5 linked regions of the Macaca mulatta genome follow. The protein of the gene in region 1 interacts with the protein of each later gene in a pairwise test. Links are inferred from orthologs where the notes say so. Each region holds a gene or a part of one and is shown in the gene's direction. Other genes may lie near its edges. The genes, in order: ZBTB8A, ARMCX1, AP1M1, KIF9 and ZBTB48.

Evidence for each region.
Region 2: the proteins of ZBTB8A (region 1) and ARMCX1 interact in binary tests that used the Homo sapiens proteins (3 or more experiments, as listed by UniProt). The two-hybrid records come from large-scale screens. The link is inferred for Macaca mulatta from reciprocal best matches to the Homo sapiens genes ZBTB8A and ARMCX1.
Region 3: the proteins of ZBTB8A (region 1) and AP1M1 interact in binary tests that used the Homo sapiens proteins (3 or more experiments, as listed by UniProt). The two-hybrid records come from large-scale screens. The link is inferred for Macaca mulatta from reciprocal best matches to the Homo sapiens genes ZBTB8A and AP1M1.
Region 4: the proteins of ZBTB8A (region 1) and KIF9 interact in binary tests that used the Homo sapiens proteins (3 or more experiments, as listed by UniProt). The two-hybrid records come from large-scale screens. The link is inferred for Macaca mulatta from reciprocal best matches to the Homo sapiens genes ZBTB8A and KIF9.
Region 5: the proteins of ZBTB8A (region 1) and ZBTB48 interact in binary tests that used the Homo sapiens proteins (3 or more experiments, as listed by UniProt). The two-hybrid records come from large-scale screens. The link is inferred for Macaca mulatta from reciprocal best matches to the Homo sapiens genes ZBTB8A and ZBTB48.

The regions. Positions count from the first base shown.
Region 1 is NC_133406.1:208,282,107-208,285,619, reverse strand, and holds part of ZBTB8A (zinc finger and BTB domain-containing protein 8A), read left to right. Parts: intron 1-672; 5' UTR 673-673; coding exon 674-1,496; intron 1,497-3,513. UniProt on the Homo sapiens protein: May be involved in transcriptional regulation.
Region 2 is NC_133426.1:108,428,083-108,431,679, forward strand, and holds ARMCX1 (armadillo repeat-containing X-linked protein 1), read left to right. Parts: upstream 1-1,334; coding exon 1,335-2,696; 3' UTR 2,697-3,094; downstream 3,095-3,597. UniProt on the Homo sapiens protein: Regulates mitochondrial transport during axon regeneration. Increases the proportion of motile mitochondria by recruiting stationary mitochondria into the motile pool. Enhances mitochondria movement and neurite growth in both adult axons and embryonic neurons.
Region 3 is NC_133424.1:16,678,050-16,682,201, forward strand, and holds the start of AP1M1 (AP-1 complex subunit mu-1), read left to right. Parts: upstream 1-1,341; 5' UTR 1,342-1,454; coding exon 1,455-1,496; coding exon of another isoform or gene 1,497-1,567; intron 1,568-4,152. UniProt on the Homo sapiens protein: Subunit of clathrin-associated adaptor protein complex 1 that plays a role in protein sorting in the trans-Golgi network (TGN) and endosomes.
Region 4 is NC_133407.1:110,597,946-110,601,458, reverse strand, and holds part of KIF9 (kinesin-like protein KIF9), read left to right. Parts: intron 1-1,725; coding exon 1,726-1,794; intron 1,795-2,324; coding exon 2,325-2,429; intron 2,430-3,513. UniProt on the Homo sapiens protein: Essential for normal male fertility and for progressive motility of spermatozoa.
Region 5 is NC_133406.1:234,203,599-234,207,874, reverse strand, and holds the start of ZBTB48 (zinc finger and BTB domain-containing protein 48), read left to right. Parts: upstream 1-1,470; 5' UTR 1,471-1,602; intron 1,603-1,992; 5' UTR 1,993-2,061; coding exon 2,062-2,751; intron 2,752-3,553; coding exon 3,554-3,795; intron 3,796-4,276. Other genes in the region: TAS1R1 (taste receptor type 1 member 1), read left to right, coding at 102-1,033. UniProt on the Homo sapiens protein: Plays a critical role in transcriptional regulation and chromatin remodeling. Acts as a regulator of telomere length. Directly binds the telomeric double-stranded 5'-TTAGGG-3' repeat.

The DNA.
Region 1 (3,513 bases):
TATTATTTTAGTTGACTCACCTTAGAAAAGGATTGTTCACTTTGGGAGGCTGAGGCAGGAGGATTGCTTGAGTCCAGGAGTTAGAGACCAGCTGGGGTAACATAGCGAGACCTTATCTCTATTAAAAAAAAAAAAAAAGCCAGGCATGGTGGTGCACACCTGTAGTCCCAGCTACTTGGAGGCTGAGGTAGGAGAATCACTGAAACCAGGAGTTTAAGGTTGCAGTGAGCATTTTTTGTTTGTTTGTTTTTTGGGTGTTTGTTTTTTGAGATGGAGTCTTGCTCTGTGGCCCAGGCTCGAGTGCAGTGGTGCAATCTTGGCTCACTGCAACCTCTGCCTCCCAGGTTCAAGCAATTCGTCTGCCTCAGCCTCCCAGGTAGCTGGGATTACAGGCATCCGCCACCACACCCAGCTAATTTTTGTATTTTTGGTAGAGACAGGGTTTTACCATGTTGTCCAGGCTGGCCTCGAACTCCTGACCTCAGGTGATCCTCCCGCCTCAGCCTCCCAAAGTGCTGGGCTTACAGGAGTGAGCCACTGTGCCCAGCCGCAGTGAGCTTTGATCACACCACTGCACTGCAGCCTGGGCAACAGAGCAAGATCCTGTCTCAAAACAAAATAAAATAATTGTAATGTAGGTTTTGGTAACCACACGTGTCTTTTCCTCTTCAGAATGGAGATCTCCTCTCATCAGTCTCACCTCCTGCAGCAACTGAACGAGCAGCGCAGGCAAGATGTATTTTGTGACTGCAGTATTCTAGTTGAAGGGAAGGTCTTCAAAGCACATCGAAATGTATTATTTGCTAGTAGCGGCTACTTTAAAATGCTTCTTTCTCAGAATTCAAAAGAGACAAGTCAGCCAACCACAGCTACATTTCAGGCTTTCTCCCCTGACACTTTTACAGTTATCTTGGACTTCGTATATTCTGGCAAACTGTCTCTTACTGGTCAGAATGTCATAGAAGTAATGTCGGCTGCTAGCTTCCTTCAGATGACTGATGTCATAAGTGTATGTAAGACTTTTATTAAATCTTCCTTAGACATTAGTGAGAAAGAAAAAGATCGCTATTTCAGTCTCTCAGATAAAGATGCCAATTCTAATGGTGTAGAACGTTCCTCTTTTTATAGTGGTGGCTGGCAAGAAGGAAGCAGTTCTCCACGTTCTCACCTAAGCCCAGAGCAAGGAGCAGGTATAATAAGTGGAAAATCTTGGAATAAGTATAATTATCATCCAGCCTCCCAGAAGAATACTCAACAACCCTTGGCCAAGCGTGAACCAAGGAAAGAGTCCATTAAAAAGACCAAACATTTGAGAATGTCACAGCCTTCTGAAGTTACTCATTATAAGTCAAGCAAACGAGAAGCACGAACATCTGATTCTTCCAGCCATGTTTCCCAGTCTGAAGAACAAGCACAGATTGATGCTGAAATGGACTCTCCTCCTGTTGGCTATCAGTACGGTCAAGGATCTGATGTCACATCCAAAAGTTTTCCAGGTACCCAAGAAGGGCATAAGTCCCCTCCTCTAGGTTCCAAAGTGCTATATAAATCGGTCTTCTGTCAAAACACCCTTAGTTTCAGGTGCTCTAAGCAGTTGAAGCAACTGATTTTTTTCAAAAGTTCTATTTCTGTAATGAAATTTATTTAGTAACGACAGGCGTGGTGGCTCACGCCTGTGATTCCAGCAGTTTGGGAGGCTGAGGTGGGCAGATCACCTGAGGTCAGGAGTTCAAGACCAGCCTGGTCAACATGGCAAAACCCCATCTCTACTAAAAGTACAAAAAAATGAGCGGGGCATGGTGGCATGTGCCTGTAATCCCAGCTATTCAGGAGGCTGAGGCAGGAGAATCACCTGAACCCAGGAGGCGGAGGTTGCAGGGAGCTGAGATTGCGCCACTGCCCTCCAGCCTGGGTGACAGAGCAGGAGTCCTTCTCAAAAAACAAAAAAAATTAGCCAGGCATAGTGGTGCACACCTGTAGTCTCAGCTACTCAGGAGGCTGAGGCAGGAGAATCACTTGAGCCTGGGAGGCAGAGGTTGCAGTGAGCTGGGATTGCACCACTGCACTCCATCCTGGGCAATAAAACGAGACTGTGTCTCAAAAAAAAAGGAAGAAGAAATTTGTTTCATAAAACGTGGATTTATTCAAAATAATATTGAATAAATATAATGACAATCCAAATAATAAGAGTACTAAGGGTCAGAACCCATGATTTTTCTTTTTTTTTTTTTTTTTTTGAGACGGAGTCTCGCTCTGTAGCCCAGGCTGGAGTGCAGTGGCCGGATCTCAGCTCACTGCAAGCTCCGCCTCCCGGGTTCACGCCATTCTCTCGCCTCAGCCTCCCGAGTAGCTGGGACTACAGGCGCCCACCACCGCGCCCGGCTAGTTTTTTGTATTTTTTAGTAGAGACGGGGTTTCACCATGTTAGCCAGGATGGTCTCGATCTCCTGACCTCGTGATCCGCCTGTCTCGGCCTCCCAAAGTGCTGGGATTACAGGCTTGAGCCACCGCGCCCGGCAGAACCCATGATTTTTCAAACCTGTATCTGTGGGTGGTTAGATTACTCTTAAATGTTTAAAGCTCTTTTCTAAATAGTTCAATCTCTAAGACACATATTTTCACTTTTTTTTTTTTTTTTTTTGAGACAGAGTCTTGCTCTGCCCAGGCTGGAGTGCAGTGGCCAGATCTCAGCTCATTGCAAGCTCCGCCTCCCGGGTTTAGACCATTCTCCTGCCTCAGCCTCCCGAGTAGCTGGGACTACAGGCGCCCGCCACCTCGCCCGGCTAGTTTTTTGTATTTTTTAGTAGAGACGGGGTTTCACCGTGTTAGCCAGGATGGTCTAGATCTCCTGACCTCGTGATCCGCCCGTCTCGGCCTCCCAAAGTGCTGGGATTACAGGCTTGAGCCACCGCGCCCGGCCGATATTTTCACTTTTAAATAGTCTTTTTTTTTTCTGTGTATTTACTCAGAGGAATATTTAGCTTATTAAGATACAAACACAGGTTGGGCGTGGTGGCTCACGCCTGTAATCCCAGCACTTTGGGAGGATGAGGCAGGCAGATCACAAAGTCAGGAGTTCAAGACCAGCCTGGCCAATATGGTGAAACCCTGTCTCTACTAAAAATACAAAATAAATAAGCTGGGCGTGGCACACGCCTGTAATACCAGCTACTCAGGAGGCTGAGGCAGGAAAATTGCTTGAACCCGGGAGGTGGAGGTTGTGGTGAGCTGAGATCACGCCACTGTACTCCAGCCTGGGTGACAGAGGGAGATTCCATTTCAAAAAAAAAAAAAAGATACAAATACATTTTTTTTCTTCTTTTTTTGAGACGGAATTTTGTTCTTGTTGCCCAGGCTGGAGTGCAATGCGCAATCTCGGCTCACCGCAACCTCTGCCTCCCGGGTTCAAGCAATTCTCCTGCCTCAGCCTCCGGAATAGCTGGGATTACAGGCGTCTGCCACCACGCCCAGCTAATTTTTTGTATTTTTAGTAGAGACGGGGTTTCTGCACGT
Region 2 (3,597 bases), on another chromosome or scaffold:
TGGAGCAGGAAGAAACGCAAAGTTGTCAAGAACCAAGTAGGTCATAATAAGGGTGATGGCATTATTTGGGGGTGGAGCATGGTGGCGACTGCAACTCGAGTGGGCCCGTGGACCCCCTCCACATCTCCCTTCTTCCCTTCTTCCCTACACAATTTCGGATCTTGCAAAATAAATTGCTCTGCAGGTACAAGACAGGGAAGCAAATAGCTGAGAAGGGGTGGGCGTCAAGAGAGTCCAGGGGTTGGGAGGACGTTACTCCAAATTACTGTTTGAGGTACAGTGTCCTTGGTGTTGGTCCGTCGACCAAGCACTCACTTCTGAAGTTTGTTAGTCTTGAAGGTTTAGTGGAAGCAGAAACTGAGGTAAGGGAGGTAAGAAATTGCTCCCGAGCAGAGGTAGTTGGTATAACGACACGGCGGGGGTGGGGGGTGAGTGGGGGTGTCCTGGTACCTTTGAGATGGAGGAGTTGGTGGAGGCAAGGACAGAGTTGGAGACCTTTACACATTTCACGCCAGTCCGGCTTTTAGATATTCTCACTTCATTTTGTTACAAGGAAAATGTTAACAATGAAAATGTGTGGCGACATCTTCGGAGGATGCCAATGATAAGAGTAGGGGTGGAGGTGGAATGGAGGGTTAGAGGAATCATCGAAGGAGGAAGAGGAAGGGAGACAATGAATTCCAAAGCCGCACCTCGGTGAGGAGTGGAGGGCAACCGAAGGCGGGAAACATCGGGCAAGGCAGTTGTAAAGGGCTAGGAATTCAGAAGAGGGATGTATGTCCCGTCCCGGGTGATATCTGTATGTCCCCCTAGCTCTCGGCACCCCCTCCTCGCGTCCTTGTCTGCAGGTTTGCACGAAGCAGTGCCCTTGGAAGCAAGAAAGAGAAGGAAAAAACTGCCTGGACCTCTGTGGGTGCATGTGGGGGCGCCACTGTTCCCAGGACATCTGAAGGGCAGGATGGCAGGGAACTTTAACATTCTGGGGCGACGTGGTGGAACGTGAGGTTGGACAGTCTTGAAGTGGGGAAAATTTCCAAACTTAGCTTCCGGATGGAAGAAAGGAATCAGTGATCTAGATATTAAGCCCCGAGTTTGCCAATATATCTGTATTTTTGTACGTTTGTTTGTCTTGCCGTTGTTTCAGTCTGTTTGCGTGGCAAAGACACAAAAGGAGGAGGAGCCTGAAATCTGAACTGCATCCTTTATTCCTAGGTCAAGCTGCCTCAGAGCCGGCCAGCAGTAGCTGCAGACTCCGCCCGCGACGTGTTCGCGCTTCTCTGGGCCAGAGCGAGCCTGTTCTGTGCTCCGGTTAAGAGATTTGTCCCGGCTATACCATGGGCCGCACTCGGGAAGCTGGCTGCGTGGCCGCTGGTGTGGTTATCGGGGCTGGTGCCTGCTACTGTGTATACAGACTGGCCTGGGGAAGAGACGAGAACGAGAAAATCTGGGATGAAGACGAGGAGTCTACGGACACCTCAGAGACTGGGGTTGAGACTGTGAAAGGAGCTAAAACTAACGTTGGGGCAGGGTCTGGGGCCAAACTTCAGGGTGATTCAAAGGTCAAGCCTGAGGTGAGTTTGGGACTCGAGGATTGTCCAGGTGTAAAAGAGAAGGCCCATTCAGGATCCCACAGTGGAGGTGGCCTAGAGGCCAAGGCCAAGGCCCTTTTCAACACGCTGAAGGAACAGGCAAGTGCAAAGGCAGGCAAAGGGGCTAGGGTGGGTACCATCTCTGGGAACAGGACCCTTGCACCGAGTTTACCCTGCCCAGGAGGCAGGGGTGGAGGCTGCCACCCTACCAGGAGTGGATCTAGGGCTGGGAGCAGGGCAAGTGGAAAATCCAAGGGAAAGGCCCGAAGTAAGAGCACCAGGGCTCCAGCTACAACATGGCCTGTCCGCCGAGGCAAGTTCAACTTTCCTTATAAAATTGATGATATTCTGAGTGCTCCCGATCTTCAAAAGGTCCTCAACATACTGGAGCGAACAAATGATCCTTTTATTCAAGAAGTAGCCTTGGTCACTCTGGGTAACAATGCAGCATATTCATTTAACCAGAATGCCATACGTGAATTGGGTGGTGTCCCAATTATTGCAAAACTGATAAAAACGAAAGACCCCATAATTAGAGAAAAGACTTACAATGCCCTTAATAACTTGAGTGTGAATGCAGAAAATCAGGGTAAGATTAAGACGTACATCAGTCAAGTGTGTGATGACACCATGGTCTGTCGCTTGGACTCAGCTGTGCAGATGGCTGGGTTAAGACTGTTAACCAACATGACTGTGACTAATCATTACCAACATTTGCTTTCCTATTCTTTTCCAGACTTTTTTGCTTTGTTATTCCTGGGAAATCACTTCACCAAGATACAGACTATGAAACTAATTATAAACTTTACTGAAAATCCAGCCATGACAAGAGAGCTGGTCAGTTGTAAAGTACCATCAGAATTGATTTCCCTTTTTAATAAAGAATGGGATAGAGAGATTCTTCTTAATATCCTTACCCTATTTGAGAATATAAATGACAACATAAAAAATGAAGGGCTTGCATCATCCAGGAAAGAATTCAGCAGAAGTTCACTTTTTTTCTTATTCAAAGAGTCTGGAGTTTGTGTTAAGAAAATCAAAGCACTAGCAAATCACAATGATCTGGTGGTGAAAGTAAAAGTCCTGAAAGTATTAACCAAACTCTAATTTGGAGTCTGTCCCAAAGAGTATTGAGGTATTTGCACTTGGTACGATGTGTTTTGTAAATTCTTTGTTTTTCATTGTGAATATATGGTAAAGAGATCTTTTCAGCTGCTATTTTGGAATAATGACTATCATATATCATAACAGTGACTGATGTTGGTTTTAATGGTTGGGTTGAGGATGAACCATTTTAATGATGCCAAATGGAATATTAGTACTTGTACACAGAAAGAATTTATTGATTTGATCTTATTACCTAGATTGAGATATTTTTACTCTTTCCTCTACCTAAACTGACAATGAATTAGTTATACATCATGAATAAGCTACACTTTTATATTAGTTTATATTTGTTAATCTAAGACTTGTGTTCCATCAATAAAGTTGTGTTTTAAGCAGCAGAAAAAAAAGACATTGTCCTTGTCCTTCAGTTTATGATCTGTTTGGAAAGGTAAGATATATGGAAACTAAAACAAAGAGATATTAACAAACCCAGGAGACCATCAATGCTTAGAGGCAGCAGAAACAGCTGCAGGCAACAGTGCGCAAGGAAAGTTTTACAAAGGAGAACTCTTAAGTAAGCTGGGTTTGAAGGACAGGATACAAAAAGTCAGAAGGGCACTCAAGACAGGAGGAGGGATGAAAAGAAAGGCATGGAGATGGGAATCCTTCTCCAGAGAGAAGTGCTGACCTGCTGGAATGGTAAGTGTAGGGAGGGTAGTGATGACAGAGAGAGTCAGGCGGTAAAGGTGAGTCCTATTCATGGAGCACCCCTAACTGCTAAACTGGGGTGTGTGAATATTACTGCATCCACCCCTGGGAGACATCAAGGCCTTTTGTGATCAGAGGAATGACAAGATGAAAGGAAAACGATATGGTAGATTTATGTGCAACAGGAGTCCAA
Region 3 (4,152 bases), on another chromosome or scaffold:
TGCTAAGAATTCCTTCGTTATCTTGTCATGCTCCAAGGCCCAGGAAAAGCCTAGGCACAATTCTGGGTGGGCTTTTGTTACATCCCAGCCTTTGTACAAGGGCACTGGCTCTCTCGTCTTTTAATGTTTAACTTAACCCTTGTAATCCCAGCACTTTGGGAGGCCGAGGTGGGTGGATCACCTGAGGTCAGGAGTTTGAGACCAGCCTGGCCAACATAGTGAAACCCCGTCTCTACTAAAAATACAAAAATTAGCCGGGCGTGGTGGCATGTGCCTATAATCACAACCACTTGGGAGGCTGAGAGGCAGGAGAATTGCTTGAACCCGCGAGGCAGAGGTTGCAGTGAGCCGAGATCGTGCCACTGCACTCCAGCCTGAGTGACAGAGTGAGACTCCATCTCAAAAAAAAAAAAAAAAAAAAAAAGCAAAAAGCCTCTCTTGGCTGCTTGCTCTGTGCCTTGTGCAAGAATCCTTCCAGCCCAGGATCACTTAGTAGTCCTCAAACATTCTAGTTTGCTTTTCTAGAGGTTCGGTCACATTTCTATCCTAAGACTATATAATTACCGAGTTGCAAAAATCATCTTTCCAAACGCCAAAACGGAGATAGGAGGGAAAATAAAAGATGTGAGAGGCAGGCATCCTGGGTAAACCACTCTGATATTGCAGGGTTGGGATCCCCAGGGTACTGTGATGGCTAACTGGAACAGAATGCAGGTATTTCTCCAAAGCCCAAGATTTCATAAAAGCAAATTAGATATGATTCAATGGATTAATCAAGGGCCACCAGTTGCATTACCGACTACTAACTTTGCAGAAATGAAACACGGTATGCTGGGTCAAGGTTCAGTGAGACTGGTTTTCTTAACATTCCAGGCAATAAACAGGCATGCTCATTCACTGATAAGTTGACAATGACAGGTGGTGACTGTTGATAAGGTCTGATTGCCATTCAGAAAGTTTGACCTCTTTCCAAGTAACCACGGCCTTACCTCTCCCTTTTGAGCTTATCACAATTGGTGACTGTACACTTGTTTCATAGACTTCCCCACTAGACTGTGAGCTCCATAGGGCTGGGTCCCAGGTCGGTTTCACCACCAGGCTCTCTCGCCTAACTCGGCCGACGGGAGGCGGTTTTCAGCTGCTCTGGCTCCATAGCTCAGCCTGGCAGCGGCCAGTGGGTGCCCTGATTTGGTCGGCCCCGCCTCCCAGGGCCTTACTTCCGGGAGGCTTCAGGCGGGAGCAAGAAACATGGTCACATACAACGTAATGCGCCTGCGCAGAGTCCGTCCTGCGCCTGCGCATTCCTGGCAGCTCCTCCCGGACCGGACATAACGGTCCCCGCGCGGCTCCCCGAACCGGAAGTGGAGGTGAGCTGTCGCGGGCGGCGCCCGGCCTTGCTCAACGCCTGGCAGTCCCCACCGTCGCTGCCGCTGCCGAGGCCTCCTGCAGCCACCATGTCCGCTAGCGCCGTCTACGTGCTGGACCTGAAGGGCAAGGTAATGAAGGCTCCCCACCCTCCCTGTTGCCAGGCAACCGGCGGGGGCCTCCGCCCGCGGGGACCCACCCTGTTGCTAGGTAACCGGCTTATGAGCCCCACCCTGGTGTGAGGCAAAGAGGCCGGTAGACCTCACCTGAGAGCCCCACCCTATTTCTGGGTAACCGGGCGGGGGTCGTAAGTGGGTAATCCACGCCCTGTTGCTAGGTAACGCGGTGGGCTGCAGCCACCGCGTTGCCAGGTAACCGACTGCACCGCCCTCTGCTCCCAGGCACCCGGGCCAGAGGCTCTGGGCTCGGTGGAGGACCCAGAAGCGGGGCCGCAGCCGGCCTTGGAGCCAGGCAGGGTGTCCAGGGGCTGCGCGACCCTTGGCCGGGGGTGGCGAGGCGTGGCGGGGACTGGGTGCTCTCCAGCCAGTCCCGCCCTCTCAGGGCGTTGCAGCTTCTGTTTATCGTGCACTTTCTCTCAGGAGGAATTTCTCCATGTTCATTGCGATAGTGAGTTACAAGGGTTAGGTGAGTGGATGGTGATCACGAGTACCGTTTTATAGAGGGAGAAACTGAGGCACGGAGAGGTGAAGTAACCTGACCAAGGTCACAATGGTCACAGAGAAGTAGGAAGTCTAGGAGTCCGATCCAGAAGCATTTGTTTATTTAGCTGATATCTGGGGAGCACCTACTAATGCCAGGCAGGATAGTAAGCCTGGGGTCGATTTGTGTTTAGCAAAAAACAATCCTGCTTTTTTTTTTTTCTTTTTGAGATAGTGTCATGCTCAGTCGTCCAGTCTGGAGTGCAGTGGTGCGATCTCCACTCACTGCAACCTCTGCCTCCTGGGTTCAAGCAATTCTCCTGCCTCAGCCTCCCAAGTAGCTGGCATTACAGGCACCTGCCACCACGCCCAGCTAAATTTTGTATTTTTAGTAGAGACAGGGTTTCACCATGTTGACCAGGCTGGTCTCAAACTCTTGACCTCAAGTGATCCAGCTGTCTCAGCCTCCCAAAGTGCTAGGATTACAGGCGTGAGTCACTGTGCCAGGGCTCAACAATCTGTGTTCTTATGACGTTCACAGGCTGATTGGGGAGATGGATACCGATCTCCAAAAACACAAATAAATGTCAGTTGCAGTGGGGGGGTGGGGCGGATGTGTTATACAGATGGTCAGCCTCAGCCGGAGGATGAGAGAGGGTTTTCCTAAGGAGGGGTGACAAATGGACCTGAGATACCAGGGAGCTGGACATAGACTAGAACCCGGGCATCTTCCCCAGAGGATCTGAGAAAACTGAAAGAAGGGATTGTCCCCGCCTTTTAGAAATGGTCCTCTGCCTTCTCCCAAGTCCATCCCAGGTACAAGGCAAGTGGCTGCCTGGCCTGTTGCATGTGGAAGCAACAAGCACCGGTCCAACAATGTTAAACCCAACATTGGTCAGTGAGAGAAACAAACGTGGGTGTCAGGTCCTAGGTGAGGCGGGCAGGGGTGAGCCCTAAAGCAGCTGAGAGTGAAGAGGTGAAGTGGCTGCCCCTTCCTGTCCCACCCCACCCCCACACTTTCCTGAAGTCCCTTGAGTGGGTGCCTGCCCTGGAAGCCAACCAAAGCCAATAACTGATGAGATCCAGTGCTGGGTTTCCTTCCCCCACCTTCTTGGAAGCAGGGAAGACACCCGTCTTAGATCACGCCAGGGGCTGGGTGTGTGCAGTGTACCCTGAGTCCTGGTGGCATGAGTCTTGCTTCCGCCCTGGCCACTGCCTCCCCAGAGGTGCCAGCGGGCTGCCTGTCTTGGCTGGCTTATTCCTTCAGCAAACATTTCATGAGCACCTAGGATGCACCCTGTCCTGTGCCAGGCATAGGGTGTCCATTGGCACCGTGGCTGTGGTGTTAGGGCTGAGCTCAAAACCCATCTCTGCTGCTCAGCTGTGTGACCTGGGACAGGCACCTTCTCTCTGAGCCTCGCTTTCCTCACTGGTCAAAAGAGGCTTTCATGGAGTTATTGTGCAGATTTGCCGAGCAGATGTGTGAGACAGGCTCAGCACCACCCATGGTCCATGTTAGCTTTCCCAGGCCTCTCGGTCTAGCAGGGGAGTCCTCTAGAAGCAGAGACATTACCACACAGTTGGATCCAGGCAGCCACAGGGGCAGGAACAAGGTCCCAAGTCCTGCAGTTGCTCAACCTCGTCTTTAGCCAGTGGAAGGTGGAGGTGGTTATGAAAGGCTCCCTGGAAGAGGGCAACGCCGGAAGTGGGTTTGGAAGGTGATCAGGCACGATCTGGTGGAAAAGAGGTATTGCAAGGGGCAGCCTGCTGGGGCCGCTGAGCCAGAAGTCCTGGCTAATGCTGAGATGGGAGAGAGGGACCAAGGGGACCACTTCATTTCCAACAAGGAGCCACCGTGAGGAGACCATAGCCCAGAGAGGCATGATCAGACCTGCCTTTCAGAAAGCTCCCCAAGGCAGCCATGGGCTTCCCTCCCTCCCTCTGCAACCATGATGCCCTTTCTTATTCCACAATCCACGGACCTCCTGTTTCCAAAGTCGGCCTCGTGAGCCGACTGCATTTCATCAAAAATAAAGCACACTGAGAAATTCGTGGCCACGTGTCTGGTCACCGAGGACACTGGCGTGGCCACACTGGGCTGGAAGGAAGCTCTCCTAGTAGGAAGCTT
Region 4 (3,513 bases), on another chromosome or scaffold:
CTAGGATTACAGGGCTGAGCCACCGCACCTGGCTGGAATTACAATTTTAAAGAGTAATTGTGGTGTACCTAATTTAGAAGCTTTTGAAAAAAGATTTTCAGAAGGTAAGTGAATGAGTCTTGGAAATACCTAGGAGAAGAAAATTCCAGGGCAGTGGACAGGCAATGCAGAGGCAGAAGCATACCAATTTGTGGAAGTGGTTGGAGTGCACCAGGGAAGAGAAGCAGAAAAGAGGTAATGGGGGCAGATCTCAAAAGCCTCATAGATCGCTGTGTTTTTCTGCAGAAATCTAAGGACATAAATATGAGTACAAAAATGTTCTTGCAGCATTGTTTGTAAGCAGCAAAAAATTAGAGGTGAGGCCAGTCACAGTGACTCACACTTGTAATCCCTGCACTTTGGGAGGCTGAGGAGGGCAGATCACCTGACGTCAAGAGTTCGAGACTAGCCTGGCCAACATGGCAAAACCCCGTCTCTACTAAAAATACAAAAATTAGCTAGGCGTGGTGGTGTATGCCTATAATCCCAGCTACTCGGGAGGCTGAGGCAGGAGAATCACATGAACCTGGGAGGCAGAGGTTGCAGTGAGCCGAGATCACGCCACTGTACTCCAGCCTGGGCAACAGAGCGAGACCCCATCTCAAAAAAAAATAAAAAATAAAAAATAAGAGGTGACATACATGATTATCATTGGGGAGTGGTGATATGTTCATGCAGTGGTTGGTGAGGATGAGGGTAAAAGGATGAGGGTTATAACCATGCATAGAAAGCATCCTGGAGGCCGGGCACGATGGCTCACACCTGTAATCCCAGCCTTTGGGAGTCCGAGGTGAGAGGATTGCCTGAGCCCACGAGTTTGAAACCAGCATGGGCAACATAGTGGGACCCCTGTCTCTACAAAAATTAGCTGGGTATGGCAGTGTGTACCTGTAGCATGACCTACTCAGGAGACTGAGGTGAGAGGATTGCTTGAGCCCAGGAGGTTGAGGCTGCAGTGACCCATGATGGTGACACTGCACTGCAGCCTGGAGGACAGAGCAAGAGCCTGTCTCTAAAAAGAAAGCATTCTGGTGCTGGGTATGGTGGCTCATGCCTGTAATCCCAGCACTGTGGGAGGCTGAGGTGGGCGGATCACCTGAGGTCCGGAGTTTGAGACCAACCTGGCCAACATAGTGAAACCATGTCTCTACTAAAATTATAAAAATTAGCTGGGTGTGGTGGTGGGCAACTGTAATCCCAGCTACGCAGTAGGCTGAGCCAAGAGAATCGCTTGAACCCAGGAGGCGGAGGTTGCAGTGAGCTGAGACCACACCATTGCACTCCAGCCTGGGCAACAAGAGCAAAACTCTGTCTCAAAAAAAGAGAAGGCATTCTGGAGTCTATAGGCTGCACCGAAAGGGCCATTATCCTGGTAGACTGGAAGAAGCTTGGGGCCCCTGGGAGTTGGGGTTTGAGGTGGCCCTGTAGCTTGTGCTGTCTCTTTTGAGGCAGTAGCAAAGGCCAGGGTACTATTCAGGTCCTCCCAGACCCTGAACTCACCCCAGTTGGGGAAGAGTCACCAGTGGGGAGGTAATCGACAGAAGCTGAAAGCATACCCTGTGGATCCAGGAATGGCCGGGATGTCTGGGCACAGAATGAAGAATTGTGCTCTTGCTGTGGAAGAGACAGGGTAGCTTCTCTGATGACCCTTCCTGTTGGCCCCCACCCTACCATGTTTCCCGGCAGAGAATGGTCAAGAACCTGGAGAAGGAACTAGCACTGCTCAAGCAGGAACTGGCCATCCATGACAGCCTGGTAAGAGGCTAGAGGCAAGGAAGGAGGGCAGAGGTGCTGGGATAAGGGGCGACTGGGGCTAGGGGCAGACAGCATAATGGGTCAAGGCCGGTAGTAGGCGGGGTCAGGGGGCAGGCTGAGTGGCAGGAAAGGGGCAGCAGCAAGGGGCCATGAGGACAGGGGGTGGGGGCAGAGTCCTCCGGTGGTCCTGAGGGGCCTCAAGCCAGAGGCAGCGCATGCCTCCCGTCCTCGCGGTTCTTATGCTGCAGAGTCTGCTGGGACTCAGGCAGCAGAGCCTCTGTCTGGAGTAGCAGGCCCCATGTCTGAGGGACTTTCCTTTCCTCCCCGACCCCATTACCCATCTCTGACTCAAGCACCTGGCCTGTGTGTTAGGCCCTCTGGCAGGACCCGATGATGAAGGGAATGAGCCAGCTTGGTCAGCCAGGGCCTGTGCCCAGCCTCCCTACTTTGCCTCTCAGAATGGCCCCTGCCACTCCCGCATGGGCTTGGGTTCTTGTTGCTTATCCACATGTTCTTCATCCTCCTTCAAGACCAACCGCACCTTTGTGACCTATGAAGCCATGGATGAAATCCAGATTGCTGAGATCAACTCCCAGGTGCGGAGGTACCTGGAGGGGACGCTGGACGAGATCGATGTAAGGAACCCGTCTGTGACCACTGTGCTGAGCCAGCCTGGACCTCCCTATCCTGGGCACACCCCAACGCATGCTCTGCTAGCCTCAGAACCTCACATGAATGGGTGCAGTGGGTGGAGGGTGGTGCTGGACTCTTGATGTCAGGGACCCTTCAGCTCATCTCAGGGGCACAAGCACAGGCCCTAGAGCCAGGCTTTCTGGGATTGAATCCTAGCTCAGCTGCTTCTTTGCTGAGTGACCTTGGCAAAATACTCAACCGCGTGTACTTCAGTGGCCTTACCTGCCTAGTGGGGAGGGAAACGGAGTGGTGATGAACTGAACTGCTGCACCTGGGTGGCTTGACTGTGTCCGCAGAATGAAGCTGATAAAGGATGGTGGTCATGCTGGTTGTCTACAAGGTAGACCCCAGGGCCCATGTTGGAGTGGGCCAAGGAGGGGGAAACTGCCCCACAAGGAAGGGTCCTCAGGGGGAAGAGGCTGCATCCTGTTTTCACAGTGCAGTCCATCGAACCCCTCTTCTTGGAGACATGGGCAGACCCCCCTGTCTGTTACTATGGGCAGCTCCAAGAAGCAGGCCTGGGGCAACTAAGGGATGGACTCTTCTGGCCTTCATAGGAGGGGCAGTCCCAGATTAACCCTTGGTCAAGGGGAATGCTGTGGGCTTTAGGCCCGGGGGGAGGCCAGTAACCTTCCTCCGGCCTCATGTGTACGTGTCTGTGCCCATGCAGACAGGTCCATAAATGGGCTCCATCTGAAGACAGCAGGCAGAGCCTTTTGGAAGAGAAAGCTGAGGAAATACGTTTTATTTATAAAAAACTTTAGAAGGTATTTTCAAGGTATAGAATCATTTCGTTTTATAGAGGTCTTCACTTAGAAAAGGTGGTTTTTATAGCCTCAGCAAACACTTAGTTTTAAAATTATTAATCAGGTGTTTCTCTGCTCTGGAGAAGGGCTTGGCTGCCACTTTGCTGAGAGGCTGTGTGCAAATGTCCTCTTCTCGAGACAGATGGTCCAGGAGTCAGCCAAGGGGTCTTGATTTCTCTACTAACATAGACGCAACCTGGTCCCTCTAGGTGCCCTTGGT
Region 5 (4,276 bases), about 26 Mb from region 1:
AGCTGCCTGGGTACAATTCTCCCAGTATCTTGCAGGCCCCTATTTCCTATTCCTACTCTGCTCATCTGGCTCTCAGGAACCTTCTTGGCCTTCCCTTTCAGACCTCTACAGATGCCAGCCTTGTGGGAAAGAAGAGTGGGCACCTGAGGGAAGCCAGACCTGCTTCCCACGCACTGTGGTGTTTTTGGCTTGTCAAGAGCACACCTCTTGGGTGCTGCTGGCAGCTAACACACTGCTGCTGCTGTTGCTGCTTGGGACTGCTGGCCTGTTTGCCTGGCACCTAGACACCCCTGTGGTGAGGTCAGCAGGGGGCCGCCTGTGCTTTCTTATGCTGGGCTCCCTGGCAGCAGGTAGCGGCAGCCTCTATGGCTTCTTTGGGGAGCCCACGAGGCCTGCATGCTTGCTGCGCCAGGCCCTCTTTGCCCTTGGTTTCACCATCTTCCTGTCCTGCCTGACAGTTCGCTCCTTCCAACTAATCATCATCTTCAAGTTTTCCGCCAAGGCACCTACCTTCTACCGCGTCTGGGTCCAAAACCATGGTGCTGGCCTGTTTGTGATGATCAGCTCAGCGGCTCAGCTGCTTATCTGTCTAACTTGGCTGGTGGTGTGGACTCCACTGCCCACTAGGGAATACCAGCGCTTCCCCCATCTGGTGATGCTTGAGTGCACAGAGGCCAACTCCCTGGGCTTCATACTGGCCTTTCTCTACAATGGCCTTCTCTCCATCAGTGCCTTTGCCTGCAGCTACCTGGGCAAGGACTTGCCAGAGAACTACAACGAGGCCAAATGTGTCACCTTCAGCCTGCTCTTCAACTTCATGTCCTGGATCGCCTTCTTCACCACGGCTAGTGTCTACGACGGCAAGTATCTGCCCGCGGTCAACATGCTGGCTGGGCTGAGCAGCCTGAGCAGCGGCTTCGGCGGGTATTTTCTGCCCAAGTGCTACGTGATCCTCTGCCGCCCAGACCTCAACAGCACAGAGCACTTCCAGGCCTCCATTCAGGACTACACGAGGCACCGCGGCTCCACCTGACCAGTGGGGTCAGCAGGCATAGCTGGTAGCTTTCTCTGTCCTGAGGGTCGAAGGTCAAGCAGGCCAGGGCTGTTTGGGAGGCCTTTGGGCACCTCAGTCTGGGGTTGGGACGTGTAAGCGCCCGGGAGAGCCCAGACCAGGCTCCGGGCTGCCAATAAAGAAGTGAAATGCGTATCTGGTCTCCTGTCGGGGAAGAGGGTGAGGTGCCGCGGATTCAAGTCTGAACCCAGAACCTGGAAAAGGCTTGGTGCCCAGCTTGACGTTGCTAGGCAACCCCGGAGGCGGGCCCAGCGCCAAAAGAACAGGGCGTGGCCTCATCCCCTCATCCCATTGGCCGTTCTCTGCGGGGCCCCGCCCTCGGGTGCCGGAGCTAGAAGATCTACGCTTCCGAGGCGCCCCTCCTGGCCGGCACGCTCTGACGTCACGTCCGGCGCGGAGACGGCTGCGTCTCCGCACGGTCGGCGGGGCACGCATAGCCGGGCAGTTGGTTCGTGGGCTGTGGAGGCGACGGAGCCGGGGGCTGGTGGGGCCAGCTCAGGGAGGACCTGCCTGGGTGAGGAGGGCACGAGGTGAGGGAGGGAGGGGCTGCGGGCCGCCGTGGCTGCCTTCCGCTCGGCCGCTCGGGACCTGTGGGCGCGGCGTGGGCTCCGCTTACCTGTCCGCGGCCGCCGTCCTCCCCAGTCCAGGATCCTCTCACTGTGCCAGGCCAGTCAGTTCGCGCTCATCCCGTGCCTTCTTTCCCCAAACTTGGATTTTTCCCACCAGGCCCTTCTTCATGACCCTGACCCCCCCATCAGCATCCCCCCTGGCCAACCCAATATGGCCCCCGGTCCCCGGGAGGCTGTCAAGTATGTTCCTGCCTTCCGCGTGCACCCCTCACCTTGACCCAAGCCCTCGTGCTGATAAATGTGATTATTTGAGTGGAGGCCAACTTCCCCTTTCTCTCTCTTCGACTCCAGGGGCTTTCTCTTGCATACGCTCGCTTGGGCTGGCCAGGGTGTCACTTCTGCCTCCCTGCCCTCCAGACCATGGACGGCTCCTTCGTCCAGCACAGTGTGAGGGTTCTGCAGGAGCTCAACAAGCAGCGGGAGAAGGGCCAGTACTGCGACGCCACTCTGGACGTTGGGGGCCTGGTGTTTAAGGCGCACTGGAGTGTCCTTGCCTGCTGCAGCCACTTCTTCCAGAGCCTCTACGGGGATGGCTCAGGAGGTAGTGTCGTCCTCCCTGCTGGCTTCGCTGAGATCTTTGGCCTCTTGTTGGACTTTTTCTACACTGGTCACCTCGCTCTCACCTCAGGGAACCGGGATCAGGTGCTCCTGGCAGCCAGGGAGTTGCGAGTGCCAGAGGCCGTAGAGCTGTGCCAGAGCTTCAAGCCCAAAACTTCAGTGGGACAGGCAGCAGGTGGCCAGAGTGGGCTGGGGCCCCCTGCCTCCCAGAATGTGAACAGCCTCCTCAAGGAGCCGGCAGGCTTGCAAGAAGAGGAAGTTTCGAGGACTCTGGGTCTAGTCCCCAGAGATCAGGAGCCCAGAGGCAGTCATAGTCCTCAGAGGCCCCAGCTCCATTCCCCAGCTCAGAGAGAGAGTCCCTCCTCCCTCTGTGGGAAACTCAAGCAGGCCTTGAAGCCTTGTTCCCCCGAGGACAAGGAACCTGAGGACTGCAAAATGCCTCCAAGGCCCTTCGAGGCTGAAGGTGGCCAGCTGCAGGGCGGGAGTAATGAGGTACTGTGCCCAGGGTGCTGGGACTGGGGAGACAAATGGAGGGAATAGACACTTTTTTTGGTATAATAGGGACCCTGGGCTGGGTGTGATGGCTCATTCACGTGAGTGGTTCAAGTGGAGGACGACAGGGATGGACGAAGTCTATTTGTAATCCTAGCACTTTGGGAGGCCAGGGTGGGTGTGGATCACTTGAGCTTGGGAGTTCGAGACCAGCCTGGGCAACATGGCGAGGCCTCATCTGTACAAAGAAAATACAAAAATTAGCCGAGTGTGGTGGCACACACCTGTAATCCTAGCTACTTGGGAGGGTGAGGTGGGAGGATCACTTGAGCCCAGGAAGTGGAGGTTGCAATGAGCTGAGATGGTGCCACTACGCTGTAGCCTAGGCGACAGAGCAAGACCCTGTCTCAAAAAAAAAAAAAGTGGACCTTAAGACAATCTCTGTTAATGTGGGTTTGGAACGGGCTTTCTCCAAACAAAGGAAGCTGGTGATCTCAGGCTGACCTTTCTGCAAGCCCCAGCTATTCATGGTTGCCACCTTCCTGAGAGGAGTGGGCAGCATCAGGGTTACAGGTGTTTCCCCAGGATAGTGTTTCCATCCGAGCTTCCAGTTCCCCACAAATACAGTCACTTTCCTCTGAATCCAAGACTCAGATGCTCTGCCTTGGGCCCCTGAAGGAACAGTGTCTGATGAAGGGACTTGTCAGGGTTGGGGCTTGGGATGGAACTGGAGCTGGGTCCCTACAACTCCTGCTGATTCATTTGGTGACCCCACCCCCTCCTGCTGCCTATTGTGCTCTAGTGGGAAGTGGTGGTTCAAGTGGAGGACGACGGGGATGGTGATTACATGTCTGAGCCTGAGGCTGTGCTGACCAGGAGGAAGTCAAATGTAATCCGAAAGGCCTGTGCAGCTGAGCCAGCCCTGAGTGCGGGCTCCCTAGCAGCTGAGCCTGCTGAGAACAGAAAAGGTACAGCGGTGCCGGTCGAATGCCCCACATGTCATAAAAAGTTCCTCAGCAAATATTATCTAAAAGTCCACAACAGGTAAACTTTCTGTTTTTCTATTTTCCTGTCTGCCATTCCCGCGTTGGGGGAGGGGTCTTGCACGTCCCACTTCTGGGTGAGGTAGGGGCTGGGGGATCCATCTCAGACCCACATAGTGCCTGGCCTTGGCACACCTCTGGCAATCAGGAAGTGAGAGTCTGCTTTGGGTTAGATTCTTCTTCCTCACTGTCCTGTGAGTACTGTGGTTGGAGATGGGTTTGTGGACATCTTGTCAACAGGTTCCACCCACTGTGGACCTTGACCTTCAGCTGGCCTCTGCGGACAGAATGAGAAACCTGTGGCCCGTGTGCTAGAGCTGAGGCCCAACCTTAGGTGTTTCTGAAGCCCGGCAGTGTGGGCTTGAAGCCTGGCAGTGTGGGCTTTGGGCCACAATGCTGAGCCTTGGGTCAGTGCTACCTGTGTTTCCAGGGAAGTGTTCACTCTGGGGTGTCAGTGGAGTATTAAAGTCCAGTTGTCTAAA